Linked DNA regions of Macaca fascicularis. Each later gene encodes a partner of the first gene's protein in a complex. Links are inferred from orthologs where the notes say so. Each region holds a gene or a part of one and is shown on either strand. Other genes may lie near its edges. The genes, in order: SLC9A3 and CHP1.

What was found.
Region 2: the proteins of SLC9A3 (region 1) and CHP1 are in contact, whole or in part, in a cryo-EM structure (PDB 7X2U), measured with the Homo sapiens proteins. The link is inferred for Macaca fascicularis from reciprocal best matches to the Homo sapiens genes SLC9A3 and CHP1. Residues at the interface, in NP_004165.2 of Homo sapiens: Tyr396, Arg397, Met398, Gln400, Glu402, Arg474, Leu475, Asn476, Glu477, Leu479, His480, Gly481, Arg482, Ala483, Phe484, Asp485, His486, Ile487, Leu488, Ser489, Ala490, Ile491, Glu492, Asp493, Ile494, Ser495, Gly496, Gln497, Asn501, Arg504; in NP_009167.1 of Homo sapiens: Arg30, Leu31, Arg34, Leu38, Lys40, Glu49, Phe51, Gln52, Arg53, Ile54, Glu56, Leu57, Ala58, Ile59, Asn60, Pro61, Leu62, Asp64, Ile66, Phe70, Phe83, Leu87, Phe90, Leu115, Phe117, Ala118, Leu121, Tyr122, Leu135, Leu139.

Annotation. Positions count from the first base shown.
Region 1 is NC_088380.1:827,548-831,886, reverse strand, and holds the start of SLC9A3 (sodium/hydrogen exchanger 3), read left to right. Parts: upstream 1-1,380; 5' UTR 1,381-1,507; coding exon 1,508-1,718; intron 1,719-3,877; exon of another isoform or gene 3,878-4,018; intron 4,019-4,164; exon of another isoform or gene 4,165-4,339. UniProt on the Homo sapiens protein: Plasma membrane Na(+)/H(+) antiporter. Exchanges intracellular H(+) ions for extracellular Na(+) in 1:1 stoichiometry, playing a key role in salt and fluid absorption and pH homeostasis.
Region 2 is NC_088381.1:17,780,719-17,785,154, forward strand, and holds the start of CHP1 (calcineurin B homologous protein 1), read left to right. Parts: upstream 1-1,390; 5' UTR 1,391-1,536; coding exon 1,537-1,603; intron 1,604-4,436. UniProt on the Homo sapiens protein: Calcium-binding protein involved in different processes such as regulation of vesicular trafficking, plasma membrane Na(+)/H(+) exchanger and gene transcription. Involved in the constitutive exocytic membrane traffic.

The DNA.
Region 1 (4,339 bases):
TCCATCCACTCAGCCACTATCTTGCGAGTGCTATTGTGTGCCCAGCTCTCTTCTAAGCTCAGGGGATGCATGCGTGAGCCCCTTGCTCGTGGAGCAGACATTCCCAGGGTGAGGGCAGACAGCTCAAGGTCAAAGCCAGCAGCCCCCAGGGCTGAGAGGTGAGCTGAGCCCCGGCTGAGTAAGCAGGGGATGCGGGAACTCAGCAGCCACAGTTGTGAGCTGAGTGGGTGGGGGGTGGGACAAGAAGGTGGCATTGGAGCCAAGCCCCTGGGGAGCCGAGGAAGGGAGCAGGCAAGAGCTGTCCAAGCAGAGGGAGCAGGGTGTGCAAAGGCCGATTGCTAGTGTGGGCTGTGGCGTGCATGGGGGTGGGTGTTAGGCAGTGGCTGGGGTCAGAGCTCCTGGGGGAAGTTGAGCCTTTCCTCTGAGAGGGAGGGTCCCAATAGGAGGGACTGAAGGGGCAGGCAAAGGGCCCAGCAGGAGGCTTTGCAAGTGGCTGCAGGCAGGCTCTGAGAAGCTGCTGGTTTTGTGCGAATTTTGAAGGTAGAGCACATATGCTAAGAGCTTGGAAACCCCTGGTGAGCGAAAGAAGTCCGCGTGCCTCCCAGGTCTGGGGCTGGAAGGCTGCAGGGTGGGCTTGGAGGAAAACAGGGGTGTGGTTTGCATAGTGGAGTCTGAGATGCTTAAGGGAGCCAGTGCTGCCAGAGTGGGCTGTGGGCAGAGGCCCCGCATCAGTGTGAAGCCCTGGGGGTATCGAAGTGTTTTGGGTGGAGGTCAGAAGGCAGGGGCCGGGGCGTGGAGGCCACAGAGCCTGGGGTGGGGGATGCGGCCGGCGAGGGGAGGGGCAGAGAGACTTCCCAGCGCACCACGCCAGGTCTGGGCGTCCCCGGTTTCTGGTAAGTGGCCGGTCCGGCTGCGGAATGCAGGTTCCTGCTGAAGACACAGCGAGACGTGAGGCCCGGGGGCCCCGTGCACCCTCGGGCCGCCCTGTGAGGTCTGCGCAGCCCCAGGGCCCGCGTTTATGAAGGATTGGGGCGAGCGCACCCGCAGCTGCCCGGGCACCCCACGAGCTGAGCGGACGCCGAGAAGCGCGGGGAACCGCCTGTCCCGCCGCCCCGCGCTGTGCTCCCCTCGCCCCCAGCCCCAGGGAGGCGGTCGCGCAGTCCCGGGCTCGCTCTTGCCGCGACCTCCCGGACCTCCAGGCCGCAGGCTCCGGGGAAGGGTGGGGACTGGGGAGCGCCGGGTGGGCGTGCGCGGGCGGGGCGGGCGTGCCGGGAGCTGCTGCGGTGTCCGCGCTCGCGAGTGCGCGGCGGGGGCGGGCAGGCTCCGCCCCGGGGCGGGAGGGGGCCGCGGGATTAAAGGCCACCCCGGCGGGCGGGGATCGGACTGTCGCAGGCACCGGCACCGGAGCGCGCCGGGTCTTCGCCGGGTCCCAGCCCCGCGCGACGGCCGAGCCCAGCCGGGACCCCCCGCGACATGCGCGTCCCAGCCCCGCACTAAGCAGGCGGCGATGTGGGGACTCGGGTCCCGGGGCCCCGGCCGGGGACTGCTGCTGGCGCTGGCGCTGGGAGGGCTGGCGCGGGCCGGGGGCGTGGAGGTGGAGCCCGGCGACGCGCACGGCGAGAGCGGGGGCTTCCAGGTGGTCACCTTCAAGTGGGCCCACGTGCAGGATCCCTACGTCATCGCGCTCTGGATCCTCGTGGCCAGCGTGGCCAAGATCGGTAGGTGGCCCCGGGGTCTCCGGGTCTGCCCGCGGGGTCTGCGGCCGCCTCTGCCGGGTCTGGGGGCTTCGTTGTGGCCGCGCCCATCAGGTCGGAGCCGGGCGGCCGCGGCTCGGGAGAGTCTGGCTCTCCGGTCCAGCAGAGCGAGACTCGGGAGCGACTCTGGCCGCGCTAAGCCGCCCCTGCGGGTCCCGAGGGTCTCCCCTACCCGGCGGGGGCACAGCCTCGGAGCCCCTGGCTCGCGGCTCCCGGGTCCCTGTGGGGTCTCCGTCCGGCCTCCGCTCCGAGCCCCGCAGACTGTAGGCTGCTCGCGCCCGAGGAGTCCCTGGGGCCGGGTTTCCTTGGGGGTACTCAATCTTTTTAGAGAAACGTCCTTGGAGTGATGGCGCTTTTTCGTGCGTTACAAGGGCAGAAAGGAAAAGCGGTGCCACCCGCATGAAACCCAGCAGAATCCTCCCTACCGGCGCAGCGTTCCCATTGGCGGGCCTCCTTTTTTTTTTTTTTTTTGGAAAATCCCGGTCGGTCAGATTTCTCTTCTCCTTAACTTGCGCCAATGAACCAGTAATGTGGGCACGGCAGGTAGCTCCTGGCAAGGTGACAGGAAGGTCAGCTTCCTGAGGAGCTCGTGGGGATCAAAGTTTCATGTGTTGGCCCACAGGGGAGGGTCTCTCCAGGGGTGGCGGAGAGGTGGTCACTTGTGTAGAGGGGGGATTAGGGGACACGAGTGGGGCCAGGAGAAGCAAGATCAGAGCAGCAGGCGCCGCCGCAGGTTTCCAGAGCGGCTTTGGACTGGGGCGGGGTGGGCAGGGGGCGGCGGTTTGGATGCTGGGGCCGAGGAGGGGCGCCCACGCAGGACAGGGGAAGGACAGGCTTCGGGGAGAACAGCTGAGAGAACCTTGGCCTTGGTGGAACCTGGTACGCCCAGCAGGCTTGATTGGAGAAGGTGCCTTTTCCTTCAGTGACGCCTGCCGCCTGCCCTATTTATGCCAGGGTCTCCCCTCCCCTCCAGGCCCCTTGAGTGTTTGCTTTCTGTCTCGTAAGTGCTCTTCTGAGCCCTCCCGCGCCCTCCCTTCTCTGCAGCCTCCTCGCTTCTCTGCAGCCTCCTCCCTTCTCTGCAGCCTCCTCCCTTCTCTGCAGCCTCCTCCCTTCTCTGCAGCCTCCTCCCTTCTCTGCAGCCTCCTCCCTTCTCTGCAGCCTCCTCGCTTCTCTGCAGCCTCCTCCCTTCTCACCCCGGTGTCTTTCAGCTCCCGGCCTGGGCTGCCTGCTCTCCGGGCTCACGCTGGCCTCGCTGTGCTTTCCACTGGGGGCTTGCGATGCTGGCCGTGGGGGAGTCTCTGAGGCTGGCTGCCTCCTACAGGTGATTTCCTTGAGAAGGTCCCCTGGGGCATCAGGGAGGTCCAGCCTCAACCTGGGCTCTGCGGTCGCCCAGTCCTAAAGCTCACCCTGCTTTCCTCTGACGGGCGTGTCCCGCTGGTGTAAACTGAATAGGTAATTTCTTTTATTTCTTTTCTTTTTTGAGACGGGGTTTCATTCTTGTTGCCCAGGCTGGAGTGCAATGACGCGATCTCGGCTCACTGCAGCCTCCACCTCCTGCCACAGCCTCTCTGGGATTACAGGCATGTGCCACCAAGCCCGGCTAATTTGTATTTTTAGTAGAGACAGGGTTTCTCCATGTTGGTCAGGCTGGTCTTGAACTCCAGACCTCAGGTGATCCACCCGCCTCGGCCTCCCAAAGTGCTGGGATGACAGGCGTGAGCCACCACGCCTGGTCCTGAATATGTAATTTCTGTACAAGCTGGGGCCTCTCCCAGTTCAGCCCCGTGTACAGAGTCAGAATCTGGCATCTGAAGGTCCGAAGACAGCCACCAGGCACCAGCCAGCCCCGCCTGGGAGCCCGCAGGGAGGGCACACTGACCGGGGCTTTGCCTGGCCTCAGAGTTTGTTATTCACCAGGAAAAGCCTTCGGGTCTCCCAGACACTTGGACTGGTTCTGGAAAGACGTCCTTGAGGGCAAGGAGCTGCCGGCTCCAGCAGCAAGTCCCGGGGGCAGGGCGGTCCCAGAATGCATCTCCTGGGGAGCTGGCCCTTTACGAAGGCCCACCCTGATAGCACCGAGTGAGCGGCTGTCTTTGTCCCGGGGTTGTTGGCCCCACCTGGGAAGGCAAGAGCCTCGCCCCGCGCAGCTGTGAGAGCTCATCGAAGCATCCCACCGGCACAGACCTCTCCAGACCTTCCCTCTACACTCGCTGTCATCCCCTCAACCCACTGTCCACGCTGCAGCCCCGGCAGTGACAGCTGAGGTCTGCCCTGGGTCTGCCCTGATTGGCCCCCAGGCTGTCCCACCCTCCATCCCCTCTCTGCCAGCCACACCTCTTGAATGCAGCCCCTGGCCCTCCCTGTGTGCTTCCTCCCCCAACCCCTCCCCTGTGAACTCTGGACTTCTCAGATTCTGCTGGCCCAGACCGTCCTCCTTGTGCAGCCAGCCTCAGGTGCATGACCTGTGTTCCCAGCGGACCCTCACATCCAGGCCTTCACAGACGCCGGGGCCTGAGCCTGCACCACAGCGGGACTTCTCCCACTTTACCCAGCCTCCTTCACATGCCCACAGCCCCCAGACCAGG
Region 2 (4,436 bases), on another chromosome or scaffold:
GGGGCCTCAGGCTAAGCTGTAAAGCCTTAGGAACACTTAAAACTAATAACCTAAGTTGACCTGGGAAAGCTTGCTAAGACAAAAATACCCTGGTACTTAGGTTCTAACAGACAGCGGTCAGAATTCAGTTCTTCCATATCTTATACGGGTTCTAACCAAACAGGTGTGAAGGGGTAAGGCCGGTGAAGCAGTAAGAACTGGTTCACCTGAGAGTAGGCACTAATTTAATGGGTGGCTTTTTACTTTTTTTTTTTTTTTTTTTGAGACGGAGTCTCGCTCTGTCACCCAGGCAATGCCGCGATCTTGGCTCACTGCAACCTCCGCCTCCCGGGTTCAGGCAATTCTCCTGCCTCAGCCTCAGTAGCTGGGATTACAGGCATGCGCCACCACGCCCGACTAATTTTATATTTTTAGTAGAGACGAAGTTTCTCCATATTGGTCAGGCTGGTCTCGAACTCCTGACCTCAGGTGATCAGCCCGCCTCGACCTCCCAAAATGCTGGGATTACAGGCGTGAGCCACCGTGTCCGGCCTACCTTTTTAATCAAAACAAACAATACACCATGAGAATAAAATGCAAAATTTCTCATTTTTAAGACAAAGTAAGGAACTTCAAATAAATGGCGGACCATAAGCTAGGAATTCACTGTCCTCCATCGTTAGGGCTTTTTCCTCCGAAGCAAGTTTGGGAAATCTGGATCCTAATTTCAGCCAAGTGGTGAATTCCTCGAACTTCAGTCTAGAACTAAAAGAAGAGGGGGGCTGCAATGAAGGAAAAAGTCTCGGGACGCTCCACGCCACCCGGCGGCGGTTATCAAATCACAGCCTGAAAACAACCTGGAGAAAGGTCCGCGACGCCGGGCACCCACGCTGCAGAGGGGACGCCCGCCCGGCCCAACGTCCAGTCTCGTCTGTTTCCCAAGGAGCCAATCAGCACGCGGCCCCGAGGCTGGCTCCCCAGCGCCCCCTGCGGCCGGGAGGAGGACGGCCGCCAGGAAAGATACAGAGCGCATGCAGTCCCCGAGGGGCACACCCTAGGGTTCCCCCCACGCGAAGTTTCTCTCCGCAATCCGTGCCACCTATCGAGTAGGATTCCTAGTGTTCGATTTCTGTGAGAAAAGGTAGGCTACGCTGCCTGCCGCAGGTTAGTTTGTTGTAAAACGGTTGGTCAATGGAATTGCCCTTTTAATTGCGTCGTTAGCGCCCGAGTGGCATCGCCCCTTTAAGGCCGGTGGCAGCTGCGGTTCCGGGGGCGGGGTCCATCTTCAGCAGGACTTGGGCTGGAGCTGGGCTGATTCATTCGGGGCTGGAACTCGAACGCTGACGTCGACTCCTGAGCCGGGCGCTGCCTCGCGCCTGATTGGCGGGTCCTCGGGGCCGCCCTCCCCAGCGCACCACCCCTGGGTTCCCTCCTGGGTCCGCAGTGGAAACACTGCCCTCTCCCTTCTTGACCCCTAGCCCGCCCTTCCCTCCCTCCTTCCCTCCTGTCGCCCTCTTTTCTGGCGCCGCTGCTCCCGGAGGAGCTCCCGGCACGGCGATGGGTTCTCGGGCCTCCACGTTACTGCGGGACGAAGAGCTCGAGGAGATCAAGAAGGAGACCGGCTGTGAGTTCGGGTTGGGGGTGGGAACGCCGGGCGCCTCAGACTGGCCTCGCAACCGAGGGCGGCTGTCGCTAAGGTCTGGAGCTCGGGTGCCTGTGAGGTTGGGGGGGTCCTGGGCAGCCTCCAGGTTTCGGGACCGAGAGCTGGAAGACCTGTTCTTCCAGCTGCAGCTTCCTGGAGCGGGGCTGTAGCTACTGTGGGGGTGTCCTTCCCTTCAACATCGGGAGTCTTGATAACTCTTAGAGCGTCGACGCCCCCTTTTTCTGCCCCTTGCCCATCAAAGTCCCCGAACTCCTTTCCTTTCTGTTGCCTAGCACCACCCTTCCCTATGAAGAGGCATCCTGAACAGTAGGTAAAGCCCGAGAAGCAAATTCAGGAACTCGAGATGGATTCTATAGAAAATCCATTTCTGGGCAAGGACCTAAAACCTCCGACAACTATGGGAAATTACAAACTATGGGAAATGACAATTCTTGTCACAAATTAGGAAAACCACCCAGAAAGCAAGACCGTGTAGTAAGGCTTTGGGAGACATGACCCGATGCCTGGAGACCTTTCAACAGGGATCTGGGATTGTGAGACTTCTTTCAATCTGAACTTCTAGAGAAAAAACACGGATACTATGAGCACCAGTTTTTTACTTACACGAGGATACTTGCTGGCCTAATTTCATATATATATATATTGATTTCTACTGTGCTGGTGTACTTTTTTATTCGCTATTGAAATTGGATGTGCTTCAAAAATCTCCGTGTGAATTTGTACTAGGAACTGATTTTTTTTTTTTTTTTTAAACGGAGTCTCCCTCTGTCACCCAGGGTGGAGTGCAGTGGTGTGATCTCAGCACACTGCAACCTCTGCCTCCCAGGTTCAAGCGATTCTCTGGCCTCAGCCTCCCGAGTAGCTGGGAGTACAGGCGCCTGCCACCACACTTGGCTAATTTTTGTATTTTTGGTAGAGATGGGGTTTCACCATGTTGGCCAGGCTGGCCTTGAACTCCTGACCTCAAGTGATCCACCCGCCTCGGCCTCCCAAAGTGTTGCGATTACAGGTGTGAGCCACCCTGCCCTGCAGAACTGATTTTTTTTTTTTTTTTTTTTAAATAGTCCAGTCTCTTCCTCATTAGCCTGCACAAAGGAGCAAAAGGACTCTGGGGATTCTGAAGCTCTGTAAAATACCAGCATACCTTTGAATAGTCCTTGATAATGCAATGTATGATACAATTGTATTGATGCATACAATATTTTATCTTTTCAGTAAACCTTTACGATTCTTGTTGAGTTAATGAATGATGTAGCACCTGAGCTCTGTCTCTTCATCATACCTGTCTTTGATAATGAGATGACCAGTAACTCACTCAGGGGCCCATATGCAGATAGTACCGAGGAGTGCTATGGACAACTACAGAATTACTCAGGCCTAGAATATGTTAAGTGCTGTTCTCTGCTTTGTGACAAGTTCAACTTTCTAGAGTTTTCAAGTTGGAAGGGATGTTATCTAGCCCCACCCCTTGCTGGATTGGTTTGCCCCTTTCAGCCTCCCCTAAAATATGGCCCTTAAGCCTCTCTGTAAAGACCTTTGATAGTGATAACCTCTCCACCTACCAAGGCAGTTCTTTTCACAATTTTGAATGACCCAAAGTAGTTATCTCTTTATAATTTGCAGTACTTGTTTGGCCACTGACTTACTCTGACCCTAGGAGTGGAGATACAAGCAGTTTGGATTCAGCAAGCATTTTATTACATTTTGTGGCCATAGCTTCTGGCCACATTTGTAATTAGAACTACTTTAGGTCTAGGGTGACACCGAATTAAAGTATTTGTGTTAAAGAGTCACATGGAGAAATAAGCAAAATGAAAGAGAAATAAATACAGAGTCACTTAACAAGAAAGTGTAAACCATAGTGAGGATGCAAAAAGCCATTTTTGCTTCAGAATGAAGGGAGCGGTAATCCCATTCTGGTTTACATACATTTGACCAAATGGAAAGGGCCTGGATGGGATATTTTTACCATGTGGCTTGTGGAGAGACAACTGAGTGCTCATGGAAAAGCTGTTTTTCCCATTTCTCTCCACAACCAGTGCAAATGTATGTATTGAGCCAGAATGCTTAGTGAAACAAGTGCTTACTGAATTTTTACAGTGTCTGTTCAGTACTGTGCTAGGTACTGAGAGCAGATGGTGACAAAAAAACGCCCACAACCTGGTTGGGGAGATAAGCCCAAGAGAGTTATGATTAGCATCATGACATAAGAAAGCTGAAATTGTGTGTCACCCACCTTCAGAAATCAGGGAAGAGAGCGTCCCTGTGGGCTGTCCTCGTGGAGGATGGGAATTGGGCCTTGATACATGGATGAATGGAGTAATAGATTAACCTAGGGCATTTTGGGTGACTTCCAGGAGAGATACCCCCAAGCCTGCTACAAAGTCATTCCTCTGTGCTGGGAACCATCAGTTTATCCAAATAGTGTCCATCATCAGAGTTGTTTTTTCTTTTTCTTTTTCTTTTTTTTTTTTTTGAGACGGAGTCTGTCTCTGTCGCCCAGGCTGGAGTGCAGTGGCCGGATCTCAGCTCACTGCAAGCTCCGCCTCCCAGGTTTACGCCATTCTCCTGCCTCAGCCTCCCGAGTAGCTGGGACTACAGGCGCCCGCCACCTCGCCCGGCTAGTTTTTTGTATTTTTTTAGTAGAGACGGGGTTTCACCGTGTTAGCCAGGATGGTCTCGATCTCCTGACCTCGTGATCCGCCTGTCTCGGCCTCCCAAAGTGCTGGGATTACAGGCTTGAGCCACTGCGCCCGGCCCTTCTTTTTCTTTTTCTTTATTTTAGAGACAGGGT